Linked DNA regions of Styela clava. The protein of the gene in region 1 purifies or fractionates together with the protein of each later gene. This does not show direct contact. Links are inferred from orthologs where the notes say so. Each region holds a gene or a part of one and is shown in the gene's direction. Other genes may lie near its edges.

What was found. The genes of interacting proteins can lie anywhere in the genome.
Region 2: the proteins of F-box/WD repeat-containing protein 2-like (region 1) and S-phase kinase-associated protein 2-like purify together in Homo sapiens (affinity purification with western blotting; 4 studies listed by BioGRID). This does not show direct contact. The link is inferred for Styela clava from reciprocal best matches to the Homo sapiens genes FBXW2 and SKP2.

What each region holds. Positions count from the first base shown.
Region 1 is NC_135258.1:9,387,158-9,397,376, forward strand, and holds F-box/WD repeat-containing protein 2-like, read left to right. Parts: upstream 1-4,415; 5' UTR 4,416-4,416; coding exon 4,417-6,291; 3' UTR 6,292-6,350; downstream 6,351-10,219. Other genes in the region: A-kinase anchor protein 14-like, read right to left, coding at 6,785-6,869, 6,947-6,999, 7,613-7,792, 8,256-8,375, 8,857-8,976; dynein regulatory complex protein 12-like, read right to left, coding at 9,340-9,939. UniProt on the Homo sapiens protein: Substrate-recognition component of the SCF (SKP1-CUL1-F-box protein)-type E3 ubiquitin ligase complex.
Region 2 is NC_135260.1:16,937,779-16,948,876, reverse strand, and holds S-phase kinase-associated protein 2-like, read left to right. Parts: upstream 1-5,285; 5' UTR 5,286-5,731; coding exon 5,732-6,074; intron 6,075-6,144; coding exon 6,145-6,247; intron 6,248-6,662; coding exon 6,663-6,875; intron 6,876-7,212; coding exon 7,213-7,383; intron 7,384-7,972; coding exon 7,973-8,126; intron 8,127-8,418; coding exon 8,419-8,657; intron 8,658-8,938; coding exon 8,939-9,143; 3' UTR 9,144-9,529; downstream 9,530-11,098. Other genes in the region: kynurenine formamidase-like, read right to left, coding at 241-403, 694-922, 1,098-1,227, 1,490-1,593, 1,793-1,930, 2,154-2,226. UniProt on the Homo sapiens protein: Substrate recognition component of a SCF (SKP1-CUL1-F-box protein) E3 ubiquitin-protein ligase complex which mediates the ubiquitination and subsequent proteasomal degradation of target proteins involved in cell cycle progression, signal transduction and transcription.

The sequences.
Region 1 (10,219 bases):
ATAATATATAAATACACAAATATTTATAGTGTTATTTACAGATATTTATTCACCATAGTAGCAACATATATCGCTAACTGCTGCACCGTAACAACGGTTATTTACTAACTATGCTCGGCTTGCAATCACTGTCATAATTGATGTATTTTAATGTGGGGCTTCTCTCTTGGAATCGGAGAACTGTGACGTACTGGATTTTGAATATATCTTTATTCAAATATTGTTCGTTTGAAATAGAAAATGGCATCCAATAAAACAATAGTTATTCAAGTACAACAGAAATGCATACAAACTCCTATTTTAAATATTCATCTGATTTACTGTGTCATGATTTTTACAGATAGGTATGCAAACGACTCAAATCTGCATTTTATTTGCGACCACTATACAGATTTTGGGTCTGGTATAGTTTAGTACCACATTCACTTCTAGTTAGCCTGGCTCAACAATTTTTGCATATGTCAATCCTAACCCTTACCTGACTACGTCACCAAAAAATTACGTCATCTCGACGTCGCAGTGGCGTAATAAGGCCCACCAAAGTATGTGGATGGTCGTCCAAATCGCGCAGACGATCACCCGAAATCGAGCAAGCTATTTCTCTCGTTTCCTTGTCACAACGATCACGATAGGAGAGAGATCGCCGGCTTTAGCGAGTTCGTTATCGGAGGAGCAGATGCCATTTCGGGCGATCGTAATTATAATTTGGCAAGCCCTATGACGTGATGGTGACGTCGTAGTGACGTAATTTTTGGATGGCATAGTCAGGTGGTGGTTAGGAATAAAATATGCAAAATTCGTTATGCTACGCCCAATGAAAGTACTTGTGGTACTAAACTATACTAGACCCCAGATTTTATGTAGTCTAAAATCAAGGCATGTCTTTTGCAGTTTTGTCAATAACATCTTTCAACAGTCTGACAGTTTGGCACAGTTCTCCATTCCGAGATGTCCCATCATTCAGACATCAGGTTCAATAAAACAAGCACTCCCTTGTCTCTCAAAAAAGGGCATAAACTTCCTGGGCAACTCAAAAACACAGGTGTAATAAATATTTATATTATAAACAGTGAGGACAGAAGTAAAACTGTTCTATCTAGGTATCATTCAGACAAATGCTGAATTGCCAGTTTAATCAATCAATCAATCAATTTTATTTCGGTCGCTCTGGTATAAAACAAAACAATAAACGAACAAACACAAAATTAATTTAGTTTAATTAGGCTAACACGTTGCAGGCAGCCTTAAGTATTCTACAAAAAATAATTATTTCAATAGCTCACTTGATCATCCTTCGTTAGTAATAATTTATTCCATATCCGATTCTTTAATGAGCCTAACAATGAAATACAACCAACGGCAATAATCCGCGAGCGAATCGTCAAAATCGACGAGGGACGGCACCGCAAAGTAAACAACACAGCATACGGTAAGTTTCGAAAAACAGAGGGAAACGGTTGACTGTAATTTTTCAATTCAATAGCGCCATCTAGCGTCTCACAACTTCTCAGATAAGATCGGACATAAAACATCGTTACCCTATGTTCTCTATTATCGTTTCACAGCTCTGTTGTATGTATACCAGTATACGATATTCTTTGACTATTTAATAATCCACATTGTGGAGCTCGTCAAAATGAAATATATTACAGGTACCGGTTTTGATACGTTATTGATAGTAGTTTATTCCTAGGTAAGTGATGCGAATTTCGAAAATATATCTCTTCCATACGGCAGTACGGTAAGCAAGTACCTTCACGCCCGCCGACTGGCGGCAGCAGTAAAACTGTAAAAGTCGGGGTAATGTTTTTTCAGTTCGGTAATATGCTTGGGGTACTATATTTCTGTATTTGTTTATTGCTGATCAATTTAGGCCATATCCATTTCTAAGGAGAGTTCTACTCGTGTTGACCAGCCAGTCTAGTATAGTTCAGTAGTTTAGTATCACTGTACAGCTGTAGGCTACCATGATTCTGTAATTACTTCCAGTTGGCATAGCATAACGAATTTTGCATATGTCTGTATGTTATTCCTGACCCCCACCTGACTATGCCATAAGATCGCCGTGGACCGAATAGTAATGTTTTTATTTAGACGTATGAAGAAGCAACTGCGAGTTACGTTTGACTCATAAAATTAATATATAAAGATATTTCAGAATCTCGTAGTTGTCATGGATTGAATATTTTACGTGACAAGATGATCATTATACGCTGAAAGGAACGAGCGCGGAATCGCGGTGGCTGTTACAGGAGGCAATGGGAATTTCCGATTTCGAAAATCGTGAAATCCTTGAAAACTTATTGCTAATTTCAGACATAACAATATGATACACATAATAACAATATAGTTCACATAAATTAATATACAAATATACTGGTAGGTAGTAGAATACTCTAGACCAGGGCTTCCCAAACTTTTGAGCTCGCGGCCCCTTTTGATATATTAAAGTTTTTCGCGGCCCTTGTTCACGCTAATAATGCTAAAAAGTTCAAAATATGCTTTTTAATATTTTATTGACACAGCCAATTCTTAACTTTTAATAGGGCTACTCAATAACAAAAACATCTTTACTCAAATTATTCAATGTAATGGTGCAAATCTTTCTTGCTCAACTCTGCCTAGTTTTTCTTCAAAATGCTCAAAACTCACTCATGTTCGATGAGATTCTCATGTTCTGAAAGTTCGGTTTTCTGTAGATAAAGATTATTTCTACTTGGTTCAAAAAGCGTTGCGCACCACATCTCCTTTGCGATTTCGTATTTATATTAAGCAGGCTTTTCTACCATGGCCCATTGAATTCGATTTCACTGACTGTTGTTAGATTTTGTTTGTTCGTTTATATTAAACTCAATGCAAAAAAGGTATTATATTATATTAAAAGATATTATATTGAAATGTATCAATACGTACGGTATTTTTCACGGGAAGTCGCAACTTGAGCATATTTCTGGAGGTCGTCACAATACAATTAAGTTCGAAAACTACTGAGTCCTATAGTTGAAAGAAATCTACTTTTTAAATTGTTGATAACCTATATGTAGCCGCTATTTTTAATGGAAACGTGCTATTAAATTTGTATCATATTCCGGTATTCATATTTCGTATATTAATCTCGTTATTCTCAACATCCCCCTAAAATGAGCTCCAGTGTTCAAAAGAAAATTGATGACAATTATTATCGGGAAAACACGGTGTGATGATGTATATTCACTCGGAATCGTGAATTTATCGTTTTACACTATTTTTAATGATTGTATTTCAAATTAGGAGTCTGAAAAAGTGCAATAGATATAGTACTTTGTGTAAAATTGGTGTTCTCTTCGCGACCCCTTCCAGGGCCGCGGCCCCTAGTTTGGGAAGCCCTGCTCTAGACATAATGGATATTCGAATGTTGTTCCTTGCTTCAGTTGCCTGTATTGCCAATGAATTTTATTACTCTCAGAAAATATACACACTTATCTGAATACAAGTAGTGTTTTTGTCAATAGACTTGACTATTATCGTAAAATCATGGTACCATTGATAGAAAGCGTCAGACAACTCCTTGGCTATCTTTTCTTATGGTCATTTGTACTAAGTGTACAACTGACTGTGTCACAAGTTGCTATTATTTTCATTGATAGCTATAAACTATCAATTAATTTGTGTACATATACTGTTGGTTTGTGGCTTTATTCTGATATTTCTATTGAAGCTTATTTCCTATTTTACTGGGTTTTAATGGACTAAAACTAAAAAAAATATGTTATTTTCGATTTTAGAATGTATTCGGAAATGGCCATCCCTGCTCAAACCTCAAATAAGTTAGACATTTATGGACCTCAGGGGCTTGGAGTCAAAGTTTTTAATATATTGATATTATATGATTATATTGATATGATTCTTTCCACAGCAAGTATTTTTTTGGTCCTTTGAACATTTTAGGAATTATTTCGTACATATCCCACTTACCGTAATATGCATATAACTGTTTTTTTCAAGTTTTATATCTATTCTATTGATAGATATATTTATTAAATATATGTTTTTTTTATAATCAGTATATAATTTTATTGAAAGACTAATTAATTCGTTCTTGGGGTTTCGTGCTGCAATGGCAATATCACATTCTTCTATTCATTCTAAAATGAGTAATGCTTATTGGCACCAAAAAATTTTCTTCCAGATAATGCCATTGAATTCCAATTGTCTAGGCTCATATACTTAACAACAAACAACATGCTTTAAATTACTTGATTATGCAATAATATTCCTTGCAACAATATAACCCATTCGTTACACACTGTGTGAGGCTACGACATATGTCTGGCCCATGCCAGAACCATTTTTAATATTTTAGACCTGTGTTGTCATCAAAGCCTGGGCAATATGCTATTTATTTAATCTTACTTCTGATACTATTTTTTAGCAAATATGGCAGAAAAAATAAAATTTTCTAAGATGAATCACTGGTTGTCCAAAGTTGTAGCAGACTTTCAAGAATTGTCAACTGAAGATAAAATTACAGCATTGGATGGGATTATAGATGCATGTGAAGCACCCGAACTGAAATATCTTTCAGATCGTCTGGAAATATTTTTGAAGCGGGACTTTGTTCGATTTCTTCCAACAGAAATATGTATTTATCTTCTGAGCTGGCTAGATCCCATTTCATTAGGACGATGCTGCCTAGTCAGTAAAACTTGGAATGAAGCTGTTTCTGCGTGTCAGCCAGCATGGTTAAAAGCATGCAAGACTATCGGGTGGAAAGTGGATGATTCCATAATGTCTGGAGGTTATTGGAAAAAAACTTACCAGCGAGCTCTGATAAGACTACAGCAATTAAAAAGTGGTTCTGCTTTTAAGGTATTAACTTTACTTGGACATACGGCTCGTGTATATACTCTTCGATACAACGGAAATAATTTGATGGCGTCTGGTTCAGATGACCGAAGCGTGAGACTTTGGGATGTGGTAACCGGAGAATGTTTACAGATTATACAGACTCATACATGTGCAGATCTTGCATTTGATGAATATTTTGTGTACACTGCTTCTTTCGATAACACGATTGGATGTTGGGAGTGGAGTTCGGGAGACATGATTCGGAATTATAGAGGACATACTGGGGCTGTTTTTAGCGTCTCTTATGACAATGAAAGAGAGTTGCTTGTATCTGGATCGGCAGATAAAACAGTTCGTTTATGGCAACTTTCAACAGGTGAACAAATAAACATGTATCATGGACATAGAGAATGGGTAACAAAAGTCATTTTAAGAAAGAGTGAAGTTGATTCCCTTCACCATAAGCCTGGTGATTATGTTATCTTATCTATGGACAAGGTTGAGATAAGAATATGGCTGATAAGTGAGGAGGTCAACTGTCAAAGTTTATGTGAATTATCAGCTACTGATTGTAGTGATAAACTTTTATCAAATTCAATGCCATCTTATCCTACTACTCCTCTTAATACTGATGATAACAATGAACATTGCTTCCTTCATCCGCAACTTCTTTTTGATGGCACACGGATTATGTGCTCATCCGAGCGAGGAGTATTGGAATGGGATTTTAAAGACTATACTCTAACTCGAGTAACTCCTCATCAAAACGACCCATCTTTTCTACTTGGAGCGGGTAAAACTATGTTTTTTGCTGCAGACACTCGAGAAAACTGTTTGTTTATTAGAGTGCTTGATAGCACCACAGAATCGCAACATCCTAATTTGTTAAACCGTAAAAAACTAGTGTTAGAAAATAATCCCTCAGTTAGTCACCCAAGTCCTAGTCCGGAAACGGTCGACTATGAAGTCGAATCAGAGCCCTGTAAGGCTTGTTGCAGCAGTTCATTACCTGAACAATCATTAAAACTTCCAAAATTTTCGACGAAACTAAGCCTGGAAGTTACTGAAACCCCAAATACAGACGATTCTGCAAGACATCATGGTATACCTAATAGTAGTAGCACAGTTGAAGATGAATTAATTAACGATATCAATTATAACAGTATTAAATTACCAAAATCAAAGACTGACAGTCATATTCCTACTGTAATATCTAATAACATAACTCCCGACGATGGAGGCACTTTTCAACTCCAACAGAATGTTGGAACGGAAAGTCTTCCAGGCGTTTTGGGGCGGTGGAATTTACCTATGTGTCGTTGGTCAAAACGAGGTTCAAATTATGTTTGTGGAGATCAATCGTGGTTGAATGGTTTTAGTGATGCGAACCATTCCGGTTTAGTATTTGCAGCGGCGTTACCAGACCATTCTATATATTTATTACAATGGTCTGATTGTTCATAGTATTATTGTTGTTAAATAATCATAGCCTGAGAGAATTTAAAATAAATATATAAAATATATGTAATGTTCTATTTATTAAAAAAAGCATTGGATATTCAGATAAACAAAACTACTGCCATTTTAGTTTTCAATACAGTAACAGCACAATTTTGGGAATATTGGTGATTACTGAAAAAGGGGATAATTGTAATATATGGATTGAGCACAGAAAAAGAGTACGAGTAGATTGTTAGAAGCGGATTATTCCCAGCAGTAGTCCAAACCCCTAATTTAGATTTGTCGATATTCCTTTATTCCTAGGCTAAATATTTCCACTGCATATTGAGACTAACTATAATATAGGTGCATCAGCGGCATGGCAATTAATGATAGGTAGCCTCCAAGTAAAGTGTTTTTTTTATTGGAAGTGACATCCGATTTTTGTACACTTTGTTGTTTAGAAAAATATAAAATATTATTGATATACAAAAATAGTTATGGTAGTTGATAATAGCTAAAATGTAACAGTTTCCATCATTAATATTTTGCTTTCAACAAGATTTTTCAACCAGATTTCACGAAATCTTGATTTTCCTGGCCTGAAAATATATATGATGTAAGGATAGAGATTTTGTGTAAAAATAAATACAACAACAGTCATTACAAAATCACTTACTTATGGACTAATCTGTTTCCTTCGAATATGTAAAATACTTCAACAGGCAAAGTCTGTAAAAATGAAGTTTATTATTGGTCGCTGACAATGACACTATATACATACAAATGCTCAGGGGAAATCAATATTTCAAGATACTTAATTCTTTATGACATCATGAAAATTTTTTCATAAAGTATTCTTTTAGCATCGGTTTCGCCAATGCGGTGTTTCTCTTTAATATATAACTATACTAGATTAATCAATTTTCAATTTTGATTACTTGAAGAAAATTATCTGACAGTGAAGAATTACTTGGAAAATTGCACACAATTATCATGGTCCATGTCCATTCATTCGTATTACTTTTTGCTTTCTCGTTTTAATAATGTGTTCTCATACCATATGATTGCGCCTGAATGTTTTTTTATATCGTTCTTTTTATCATCAGAGTTCAAAATGGAACATTCGAAGGCAATCAAACTGAGGACCTTAGCACTGAGATTTCACTAACTATTTTAAAACCATTTGACAAAATGAATGTCATAGTTCTGACCAAGTCTATGCTAGCTTATGGAGATAGTACAAAACATTTGCACTTGCACATATAGTAGTACCCTTCAAATGCCTCACTTTAGTTTATTCTACTAGACTTTAGAATTGTTGACAAAATTTTGAAGCGTTTACCTTAGGTTTAATCTTCGAAAGACTGATTGTAAAGTAGACACAGGCAGTTGCTCTAGGTATTGGTTTTCTTCTAGTTGGTATGCTCCATCTTACTCTATATTTATGTCGAATATCATAATCAAATTCTGTGTCACCCATATAATCGATACAGTATAACCATGCTGAATCTCGCTTCCAAGTCTGTTATAGTAAAATATATCTAATATGAATATATTGTATTATGAAAAATGTTTCATATAGGTAATCGGCGAAGAACTAGAATAACAAGTTAATATGCTGCAAGAGGATATCCGAACTCCTTGCTCTTGTAGAACCTGAAAACTATTTATAGTCTATAAAATTAAACAATTACCGTAACTTGTTAGCTATTACAGATCCAGCCTTAACTTATCACCAGTCAAAGATTGTACATATAGGTACTCCTAAAGTATGCACACCAAGATGTCTCACAACCTGAATCTAACCTGGTACACAACCTGAGTTCACGTTGTGCGCCATCTTGGTGTGCATACTTCAGGAGGACCTACATAATTGGCTTCAACATTTGAGAGCATAGTTTAGTGAAGTTCTCTATATAATACACATTTGCATACACATTACACATATATAAAATTTAGCACAAAGAGCAAAATTCAAGACATACAGCGATGAACTTCTCTATCTGACCCACTCCATTTTCTGGAGTGAAGTTTTCACAAGACGACCATTCTATGTTTGGAATTCCAAAGTCTTCTTTATCTTCAAATATTATTGGAAGGTTGGCCTGAAAATATATATATATATATACGGTCAGTGATGAGCTAGAAAAATCGTAACAACCGGAACGCACCAAATTCGTGAAAATGTAATATATATTTACAACACGGCGCTACCAGTAATTTTGTCTATCGTAAGATAGAGCCGAAGAACTACAATGAAATTATCTGAAATATGACTTTTTAAAATTGAAAGAATATTCATACTAATTCAATACAAATGTTCACAAGGGTCAAAGGTCGGCAAAACATTCATTATACATTACTGCTGTGCACTAATTATTTGCCAGCTGAAATGTAAAAATAATTATGATGCAACAAAACATCAATTAATAACTAAGTTTCCCGAGGAAACCAGACTTTTCGAACCATAATTTTATTTTAACAACAGGAACGCAATGAACTGTCCAACAACCGGAACGCCGTTGGTATATGAAGCTTCAAGGCCTATCCAAGCCAGATTTGACATATCATATAAAATATACATACCAAATTATGTCTAATTTCAACTGAAACATCATGAACAGCTTTTGCTATTACGTCGTCGACTATTTTGAATGCTTCCTCATCAAATTCAGCAGGATCTTCATCACTCCATCTTACAGGCATTTTTTAGTCACAACAACTATACAGTAGTATCCCTAAAACCTTTAAACCTATCAATATGGTACTATGAAATTAATGATAACAAGGTAAAAATAGTGAGACACAAATGAAAGTCGCACAATTCACAACACAGTGATGAAAATGATTTATGAAAACTACAGGATTACATTAAAATATACCTAGTTCTCCAGTAAGCTATTGAATATAATCATCAACAAATATGAGCAGGTAGTCTAATCCAATGATCAGATTTTAGAATTCATATAAGTTTTATTGTCTATCATTGAAGGCAAGCGGATTTAAAATGTTCTCCCGTATGACCTTGTAAGCAATTCTTTCAACAGAACAAATTATCTGAATTTATTATCAAATATCCAGAGGGTTCAGACCGAACTCTAGAAGAGTAATTTTAGTTTGTTCCTGTATTTTAATTCCTTCTTGATCCCATTTATCCTTAGCTTCATCAATTTTTCCAATAAGTGAATCAAGCGAAGCCGTAAGGACTCCTTCGTATGATATTTCCATTTCATCGATTCTTTTTTCCAATATTCTGATTGTTTCGTTTTTTTCCTGTTCCATTTCTTCTTTTTCTCGTTTCGTTGTTTCAAGCTCTTGTCTTGCATTCGCTACTTGTTGTCTTAGATGTTCTACTTCTGTGTTTAGTTCTCGCATTCTAATGTCCATATCCGTGTGCATCGTTTTATATTGTCGAGTCAACTCTGCACTGACATCTTTTTGTTCCAATTTCTGCTCCTCAAGATTTTCCTCCATTTCATGAAGACGATTCTTCCAATCTGATGCTTGGGCTTGTGATCTCCGAGCAATTTCATTTCGATGAGCGAGATGTTCTTTCAGAATTTCAATTTCTCTAACAGTCTTTTTAAATTTGTCTTCTTCTTTTGCTACATCCTTCTTTTTGCCCTTCTTTCCTTTCTTTCCCTTGCCCTTTTTCTTTTTTGGTGGCATTTTATTTATTTACTATAATAGAATTTGATAGTGCTTGAATAAATAAGAAGTAAAATAAAGCATAATGTATATCAGGGGTCGGGAACCCATGGCTCGCGAGCCATATATGGCTCTTTTGATGGCGGCATAAATATGGCTCCCAGAAAAATCTAATATTGTAAGGCTAAGCTTACAATTGTTAACGAGTTTTCAAACCTATTTATAGCCAAATTTGCCAAGACGTTTGAAAACGTGCGCCCAGCGCATGTCTATGTTATTTGAGAGAATTACCAGACAAGCA
Region 2 (11,098 bases), on another chromosome or scaffold:
TTATGTTTCAAAACTATCCCAACATGAACAAACTACCAATGTCGTTGTCTCTAATATAATCCGCTAATACTATAGAGGAGTCCGATAATTCAATAAATCATTATACGAAATAAAAATTAGAAAATGTTTCTGTGTGGACTATATATATTTCATTTGATGTAAATTTATATATAATTAACACTTGAAACATAAAACATAAAATTATCGGTTTTAATGAAACTCAATATGATCTGGACTAGATTAGTTCATCACGGCAACTACTCGTACTGGAGCTCCACTCCCACCAGCTATCTTCTGTGGCAGTGCAATAATGTTGAATTTTCTTCTTGACGTTGCAAGCTTATCAAGATTTGCAATATTCTCAAATATGGGTACATTGTGTGCGCTCAATGTTGTATGTGCTCTGTAAAAAATATATATATAGCAAGCTCACAAATGCAATTGAAGTTCAAAGGCCCGTTGGCGAGTTAGATTTAGTTTTATTGTTTCTTTTTGAAGAAAGTGTAAATTATATTCTTCTTCATTTTTGTAAATTTTATGCTAAAGCCAGTGCGAATAAGAATTGTCTAGGTCCAAACTTTTTGTATAAAAAATGATGACTTTGATTTTAAGAAATTGTGATATTTTTGTATCATAGGTATTATTGTTTTAATTTACTCTAAAAAATTATTCATACGCGGCCTATGTAAATACCCAAAGGTTGTCGACTTTGCCTGGTCTAAACTGGCGGTATCGATCCCAACAGCAGCAATGCATCTTTTGGTTACCAGCCATTCAGCAGCACTTGGATGGAGACCCGGGTATCGGAAATGGGAAATGCCTTCTTCTCCAGTAATGTTCGTTCCCACGTACTTGGATCTATCGTAGTATACGTCACCATGGCCGGTGTACAACAATACTATACTTCCCGAACGTATTCTACCTGCAATATTAATTTAGATTACATATTTTTTTTATATTTGAGTAATTTCGTGACAAATTTACTTTTTTAGTTTTAATTTATGTGTTTATTCTGAATAAAAATTTGAAATTTCCTGAAATGAAAAATTGTTATATAATGTATATAGCGCTTCATCAATTTTCGCTGTTTAATTTACCCTTATTCTCTCGTTCCCATTCAAGAAAATCATCCACTGTGATGAATGAGTCGCTGTCAAATCCTTCTTTGTTTTTCATATTCAGCAGAACTCCATTTCCGATAAGATTAAACAAGTCGACTTGTTCCATCTAAATAAAAATGACAACAGGTGCTCACTATTTATTTGTTTGTAAATTGCACGTCGTGGCCCCTTAATACAACTTCTTATTTTGACGTTCTAAACCTACAATCGTTATTTGGAGTTCATTTCTACTCACATCTTTTCCTTATTTTTACTGAACAACACCTCAGACGTCGTCTATGCTTCTGATTTAAATATATATATATGATATTGATGTTTTCATATGATGAATATATTTTATTATATGATTTTTATATTTGAAAACTCACCGTAAGACCCTTTTCTGCAAAATGAGATGGTGCATCTACATGTGTTCCAATGTGTTCAGGTTGTGTCATCATATTATACGTAACATAAAAACTGCCTATAAATCCTGAAAATATTCACAAAGTTAGGCACCTAAAAATGCGACTAAACATATATATGATTTACAAATATCCAAGTTAGAGCTGTCGCCAGATCATTTTTGTATTAAACAATTTCTTTGTGTCATTCTCTTGGACTTAATACGCAATTTATGCGATGAAAGGGTTTGCTGTGGACATATAAAATTTTGATTGTTGTTCATATACCTTTAATAACCTCGTTTAATTGAAAACCAGCTGGGTTTCCCGGCCAATGCATTGCTCTTTCGTCATAATCGTATGTCAAGTCAATCATATTATCTGCCCGAACACGCAAGTTGATGCCACGAAGTGGTTTAAGACACCCTGAATGAAAAAGCAAAAATCAAAAATAGCCAGAACATAGATCTAAATTAAGGTGAAATATTGGCACATATCATACGCAATCATATATATTTAACAGAATAACACACAGATTAGCAGAGCGGTTATATTTAACAGAAATCGCCCAAGTGCATAATAACTGACGGATGTTGCCAAAAAATCAATACTTTTACCTGTATATCGTTAATTGATTGTATATATTTACCTTGTCTTCTCGGAGGTGGAGCTTCGACGGAGTATATCACAAGTAAAATGCTTATTATGGCTTTGGTATTCATTATTTCAGGTATTGTTTCGAAACTAACTATTTTTTATATAATTATTGTAACACTAAAATATCTTTAGAAGTACAACTAAAAATTTGTAACATTTATATAAAATCTCTGATAGAATATTAATTACACTTGTTTGGTGCTTCGGAGATTCTAATAAAAATAAAATTGATAATACACCATAATGCCCAGTACTACATTCGCATTCTTGATCAAAATATTTTCCAGCGTCTGGATAAAATAAGAGCCCTGATCTCTTATCAACCCAAACCCATGACGATATCGCCTATGACTCTTCTTAAAATTAGTTTGTTTGTTTTTTTCAACTCAAAATTCTGCTCTGGCTCTACTATTAGAAAATTTAAGAGACTTGAGTGAAAAAATAAAATAAATAAATATAACTATGTACTTAGATTAGTACCATTCATTTTAAAAGGATTGCCTAACAAAAATTTTAATTAAACCAAACGTTGATGGGACGTTGACGGATGAAAACTCTGACATATGACAAATTTGCAACAGTTCGTAACTATTTATATGTTTGCAATAGGGATACAATTATAGGGATAGGGTGTTTAATCGAATTTGCAAATCTTTGACCTGATTTTCGCATGTTCTGGATTACATGTTTGAGCTAAGTTTTGTCCACAATAAATGTTATAATACTCTTTTTAAACATACTCTTTCAGTTGAGTTGAATTCTGTACCCTGACAGCTTAACCATGCAACCTTATATCAAACGTATCGTACATAAAATCTAATATGAAGTTTGCTGGCCCATGTGTTCAGAGAGTTAGCATATTCAAATACCCAATGTTTGCCAATCGTCAACTATAACCATTTCACTTACGGGGCGAATTTCTTGCAAACCAACGGTACATCGCCATGTTCTTTCCTTGCAAATAAATCTAGGAATAAGATTGCTTATTGAGGTCAACACGAAAACCCATGTTTAACATACATATAAAAACATGTCAAATACTACTGCCGAACATGCCAACGTAAAATATTGACCCTCAATTTTTTTTTTTGCTCTCACTTAAAATACGTCAGCTTCCATACGCCGATAAACTCACACATTTCTGCCGTGGAAGATCGATGCAAAATTCTGCATACAACTACGAGATTGGTCTTCTAATAACCGAAGAATTGCAGCAAAGCTGGACTCGTAGATGAACAGATTAGTCTAGTACCTGCGAATATAATCAATCTTCATTTAATATCAACACTAACACGATATGTCCACTGCGGCCCAATAATAGAAATATACTGATGTGAATTACAGAGTATCTTGATCGCTAAAAGCTACTATCAGGTTAGTGTTAGGAGCAGAGGCGTGCCAAACTATTCTGTTGCCCGGGACATGTTTCTATTAATGTTCCTAGGCCATGGACAAAATCTGAAAAGCGCTTAAAAATCGAGTTCTTGTTTCTTGAGGGGAACCTGAATTTTGGTGGGTCAGATAGCTAAAAGCCCAATTTACTAAATATAAAAAGTTGACATTTCCAAAGTGGAGCATTACGTCACAATTGACGATGACGTCCCCCTTATACCTAACTTCAAAAATAATTCCGGGGAAATCAAATTATAGATATTGTTATACATGAGAATAAATAAATTAAAGGTCAAGTAAGAGTGAAAGGTTTGTATTATTATTAATAATTTAATCCTCTAACTAAGCAACAAATTCGCATCCTACAACGACCACTGGGGGCGCCGCTACGAGCATATGGATCTACCCTGATTCAAGATCCCCACAATAATTCAAAACGAGATAGCGATCAGAGACCGCCGACTTATCGATCAAGCGGCGTGTATCCTTGGCTCTGATTCAATAGCGACACCGCGTGTTCCATCACTAATTAATTAATAACTCGCTAATTATACGACATAATTCAATAGGCTTCTGGTCCGAGATATGATGAATGCACATGTAAAATTTGGAGCAGATTCAACCTCGCTTTCGTGAGATATCGCGAAACATACGAAAGTGTCTAACAGAAAAATACCTATTTCGTTGATTTATCATTGTGATGGAACAAAAGAGCAATGCTAAAATATATGCACATGAAGGTCGCAGTCGACAAGCAATAAGGAGACAACAATATGGAAAAAAGTTCAAAGTGAAAAACGAATCCATAAAACCCACAGAAACTTAAATAGTAATATTACTATATATTGTATATATTACCATTAGTATTACTATATATAGTAAGTAGTTATATATACTACTTCTAGCGTCAACAACAAGCTTGAACCATTTAAAAAAATTAGTCCAGTATTTAAAGAGAATCGCTATTTTTTCACATCAACAAATAACAACAACAAAAAAAGAGAATACCAACAACTCCAACATAATAAGAAAACAGCCATAGGTCAAGGCCGTGTTCAATAAGTCGGTGGTCGACTAAACACTTAGTCGTTGGGTAAACGTCGTTGAGATTTATACACGCCAACCGATACTAAGTTGCGGTTTATTTCTGCTGGATTAACATCCAAATATTTGAGTCTTGCAAACTTAAATGTATTTTATGAAAACGGTTAATTCCAACAATATTATAAGTTTTTATAGAATCAAACAAATCTAAATAATTTTCACGACTAGTAAACTGGCGTAATTATGAGTTTGGTTGCGAGACTATCTCTGTTCCTTTATATTTATAGTAATTGATCCATGTGTGTATAATGCAACGATGTACTAGTAAGAATAAATAGAAATATAATATGCAATTCAAAAGTCCTGCTGCACTTTTATACAAATGAACATATTTATATCACGTTTCGTTTGACCGTAAATATATACGTTTGACTACCGGTAAATATTTACGGTTTGACCAAAGTCAGACTTCCTCAGACAAGCAGTTTAATAACCTGGTAACGGTTCTACATTTGATAACCCATTGTTACATCACTGACGACTCTGATCTGAGCGACAAGGCTTCTATTTCAGTCTACTCTAGCTTTAGTTAGTCTAGCTTAAACTAGCCTACAATATGCTTTCATCCTAACCAGGAAAATGAGAAAGATGAAATATCAACAGTGATAACTTGATTGTTAGGATGTGTTTCTTTTTTGATTGGTTTAAAAATAATACCGGTAACTTATTTTCGGGGAGACAGTCCAGTTTGCTGGCAAGAAGTTATCATTCATATAGACTAGATGTGGTGGTAGCTACACACGCGCTTTTGGTGCACAGACAATCGATTGCGTTGTTCTTTGATTTCTCGAGTTGCAAGAGTCAAAGCATGGTGTTGTAGACTACCCAGGATTCAAAACCTACCTATAGTATTTACTACAACTAGTTTACTCTTATTTTTTATATGGACAATGCGTTTGTATTTGTGAACTAGGAGAATTGAAGGGTATCTGGGTGCTGGGAGTAACAGCAGCTTACGTTTCCACAGTGTCAAATAACCGTTTGGTCCATACGTAAAAATATGTCATTATCAACGATCCTCGGTTAGAACTTTTTAAAAACATAACATAATCTAACATATCTAATATCTGGCTAATGGAAGTAGACGAAATAAGCGACTCCACGAATAATTTGTGCATCCTAGAGGCCGATAAGGAAAAAGAATTGTTATATGATGATTTGGGAATCATTGGTGAAATATCATATGATGAAGAGCTGGATGACACAAATGAACGAAGTGAAGAATTTCTGTTACGAACGCCGAAAACTAAGCGTCCTACACACGATGTCATATTGAAATGTCGAACTCCGGAAAAACCCCGACGAAATTGGAGATTCAACAGAAACCCCACTGCTTATTTTTCTAACGAAAAACCATTCACTTGTGGTCTTCGGAAATCCCCATATTCAAAATCATCGTCTAGTAGAGATATTTCAAGTGAGTCAAATTTGATCAATTTCTCGTATATTATCATACTTACTTCCAGGCAATCATATTGTTTTTGCAGTCCTCTCCCTTCCGTATGAAATCGTACTCTACATATTTAGAATGCTGAATATTTCGTCTCTGGGTAGATGCTTACAAGTATGTAGATTATGGAATAATATTGCGTGAGTTATCTTAATGTATTATACCAGATATGGTTAAATTACCATCTACGAAAAAAAGTTAAGTAATGAACATCCCAACTGTGCTTGAAATTGGTTTATTATGTATGCACATTTTGATTTTGTGCACAAAGTACCAATTTTATGAAATATGATTTTCTATTTTCTTTATACAATTTGAATAATTTTATATATATAGTATTTTCAATAAGGCACCTCGTCGTTCTTAACAGCACCCACTGGGCGGAAATCAAGTAAAAAATGAAAACTGTTGAACTTCTAAATAAAAAAAGTCAGTCTCAAGTTCTTCTCATGAGAATGCTTTCCGTATACCGCCTATATCAAAACATGCGATATTTTAGTACTTTTTATCACGGGATAAAGTTTATCTTGTTTTGTTGCGACATAAATATTTTAGGAATGACAAATGCCTGTGGAAAAAGTTGAACCTAAGAAAGCGCACGATGAACATATTGGATCTGCAAAATCTTCTGAGAAATCAGGCTGTTGCAATATCACTTAACTCTGCCACCATCTCCAACGATCGTCGCAATAACTCATGGCTGATAAACAACTCCTATTACCATGGAAATAACACTACTCCTGTATACACGCCAGTTCGTGATGAAGGGTAATTGATTGATAAAAACTAATAAATGATTAATAAATAAATAAATATATTTTGCATCTTATAAATCTGAAATGTACAGATCAGTTTGCTTGCTTAAAAGGGTAACCCCGAAGTATGTGAACCAAGATGGCGGACACCGGAACATAGAATGTGTACAAGGTTAGGGTTAGGCCATAATTTCAGGTACAATTACTGCGGAAGTCAATTGGCTAGTCCCCGAACTCGCAATAGAATTAATAAGAAAAATTGGAATAAAATTATGACCTCACCCTAACCTGGTACGTTCTGGTATCCGCCATCTCGGTTCACATACATAGGGAGTACCTCTAATACACAGGTCCAGTCCAATGCGTGATCCATTTTCTCGTGTGTATTACTACGAAGTTCAACATCTCGATTTTACAAACGCAAACATCAGTCCGACCACACTTTGTCTCATCTTGACACGTTGTAAAAGTCTGGTGAATTTGAGTTTGGAAAATTTGATCAGTAATCATCACGTTCTCGGGTTTGTATCGTCTAGTATTGACATTTTGCTGAAGTTAACTAAATGATTATGACGAAGGCATTTGTGTATTGTTCATATGAACACACTGCCTAAACAATTTAGCTTTTAAACGAAATCAATGATATCTTAAATATATTTTTTTATTTCATTTGATATCCAAGGTTTTATTAACTTATTACATTATGATGTATTTATTATTTTAATTTCAAAATTCCGCACTCCAGAAGTATTTGTACCAATATGGAGATAACTAATTTTGTTCGCCTATTTTACATCAATTTGTGTAAAGGGACTGAAACCTATGAACAAGGAGATATTCACTTGGCTAACACAGACAGTTCCCAAACTCGTAATAGAACTAAAATACGATGGCCTAACCCTAACCTGGTACACATACTTCGGGAGTACCCATAATTCTGCACATTGACAAACGCGATGATTTTTACTACAAAATATTTTATATATATATATATATATATATATATATATATATATATATATGATCAAAAAGTGTAAATATGATGTTATTTTAATCACCTCCGGTGGCAAAAAATAAAAAAATTTACTGTTTTCTCCGTTTATATCACAGATGCATATCGAACTGTTTATTCCTGACTCGTCTAAATCTCACACTATGTAAAGAAGTCACTATTTCAGGTGTGATCGAAATACTGTTGGCATGCAATCGGCTCACTGAACTCAACCTCTCTTGGTCATCGATTTGTCGATACCCACCAGAAGAGGTAAATTCAATGAAGACGAATTATTTAACCAAATATATGCGAAAAGACGTAAACTACTTTATTCATTCAAGCATATGATATCATTAATTTATTTTGAAAAGTTATGTTAGTAATTATCATCCCTATCATTCGATAGCATACATCAATATTTTCTTATCTTGATATCAAATTTATGAAGTGTTCTGTCATATGTACTGAAGGTGGCAGTTGATTTCCATAAATTGGAGTGGAATATTGGGCTTCTGCGACCCTTATTATCTGTACATCACTATTAACTATATTCTATGTTCAGCTTGTGTCAAGACTTCCTCCAACAATTACTCACCTGAATCTTGGAGGTTTCCGAGATACAATGCAGGACGGCCACGTAGCTGAAATAGTAGCAAGATGCAGACGACTCCAAGATCTTGATGTCAGCGATTCAAATCACCTGACTTCTACAGCGGTGGATATGCTAATTCACGGGTTATCAGACACGTTAAAAGGAGTTAATATGAGTCGATGTTATTCTGTAGCTCCAGATAGTTTATTGTGAGTAATTATTGACATTATACATTTGAGAAAAGGGTGATTCTTTTATGTAACAGCTTGAAAAGATGATCTACCATTACGCACTCACATTCAAAACAAAGACACCTTAATCACTTCTATCAGTTTCGATCCAAATATTTAACGATAAATAGAAACTGGTAGCTCTTCATTGAAGTGAATGCTATTTCTAATATTCTGAAGTTGTTGTCACCGACTGTACAATCGTTTGTATACGATACATTTGATAAACATATTGTACGCTTCAATTTACTTATTTGCAGACGATTTGTGAACATGCCGAATCTGCAATACCTAGATGTCTTCGGTATAATGGATGACGCATCGGTGAGGGCATTGTCTGACGCACTACCTCATGTCAACGTCAGTATGAGACCTTTCAGCGCTATTGCAAGACCAACACCCAGCATGGTAATTCAGGGGTCGGTTTCAAATTCGTCTATTTGGGAAGAATATGTGAAACTATGAAGAGCCTTGTTTCTGGACATATTGGATATACCATAAATCTCATTTATTCAGGTTCCAGGTAATTTATTGTCGATGAAGAATGGTGCGTTAGTGACACAATGTGTGGTTATCAAGAGTACACTCAATTGCACAAAATATAATATCAGTTGATTTCATACTTTGAAGTATCACTGTCAATATTTGAGATGTTACACATCATTGAAATTTCTAGATTGCAATCTATCGGAAATTGCTTTGCGATGACCTATGTTTTTCTGCAAAATTTTAATGTTGCTTTAAAAAACCTTGTTTCTCTGAGTCAAAGTAAATTGTATGTTTTTTAGTTTCGAAGTTTCTTTTTGTATATAGAACAAAAAATTCTTTAAATAGATTAAATATATAAAGAAGCAGTACCTATTGCTTATCTCAGAAAAAAAATTATCAATTTGAGGAAAGCTTTCTAAGTGTACTGTAATTCAGTAGTTAACATATTAGTAGATGATCTTTGTATATAATGCCAGGGTTATCACACGAGACAATTGACGTGTATTGGGGGAATCATATCCATGTCGAACTTAACGGGAAACGAGAAGATATACTCATACGAATCAACTAAACGTATATAAATAATAGCAATAAAAAATTTGGGTGCAGACTGCAGAAATTTGAAAAATATTCAATTATGCATCAACCAAGTAGCAACTGTCACGTTTATTGTCAATTCCACTTACACGAATCATTTCAAACTTCTTTTAATTCTTGACAAAGTTTATGTCCATCTTTTTTCAATAATAAACAGATGCGTCAAAGGCAGCGATAATTTGATTAAAAGGTAATTTATAATGATTATTTTTTAAGAAAAAAAACTAATAAGATTCAACTGATTCTGCGGAAATACTTTCATTATCACGGTTACAGTTTCACATAAACGAACACATTTAAACACTTGGTAGTATTAATAGATGAGTTATTGTATATTTTGAATGATTGCTTTCGATGTCTTCGACATGGATCCACAATTTTACTATGCGACATAAAAATCTGTTTTATTTATGACAATGCAACAGAATTTATAAACGACAATATTAACAATAAAACAGACTTAACATTTTCTTGTTTTCCGAGCACAAAAATATACAACAGACCATTAGAGCTTAGTAATACGTCGGCTCGATCTTTTATCAGTTATCCACTTCCCATCGTCATAGTCACATAAATCACTCCAGTTGCTGCAAATATATATATAAAATAATTTTAGAACTTAAGATACAGAATGCAATTGGTAAGAAAAACTATCGAAATAAGGATTCATATTCTTAACCCAGTTCGCTTTGGTACACAGCAAAATAAATGCCGAATAATCTTCATGGATTGCAGGAAAAAAAAACTAATAAATGGCGTTTGAACTATGGACATTCGTGAAGTGGTGCACGTGGCCTGTTTCGGAATTTTCTGAATATAACATGTTTGTGTTGGAGTACCGATTATGTCCTAAATCTGTTGAAATTAGTTTGTGATATTTTGTACTCGTGTTTCTTCCAAAAATGAATTGCAATATTTACTTAGATATGTAGTTTGCAGTATAATTTGAGTTTACACATTTTGCACAAGTTTCTTACTCTCCTAAATGAATTAGATTTAGGAAAAATAGGGTTTTATGTTGGAACATCGCACCTAATGAAGCTGAATAGTATTATTTTGAAACTCACGAGATGGGTCAGCAAAAGCATCAAAGTCTGGCTAGGCAAAGTCTGGATTCTGTTCGTATATTCCAACTACTGATGGTTCTGAAATGAAAAAAAATGTCCTCCACCTTACAAAGCTAAAACGCATATATATAGTAGGGCGGGGGATGATGGCCCCCCTTATTGAAAATTATCTATATTTCGAAAACCTTTCTTCAAATATTCCTAAAACTTTGCAAGCACAAACATAAGGGGCTGAACTCTTTAGCCACTCGGCGGCGTCCGCCGGTC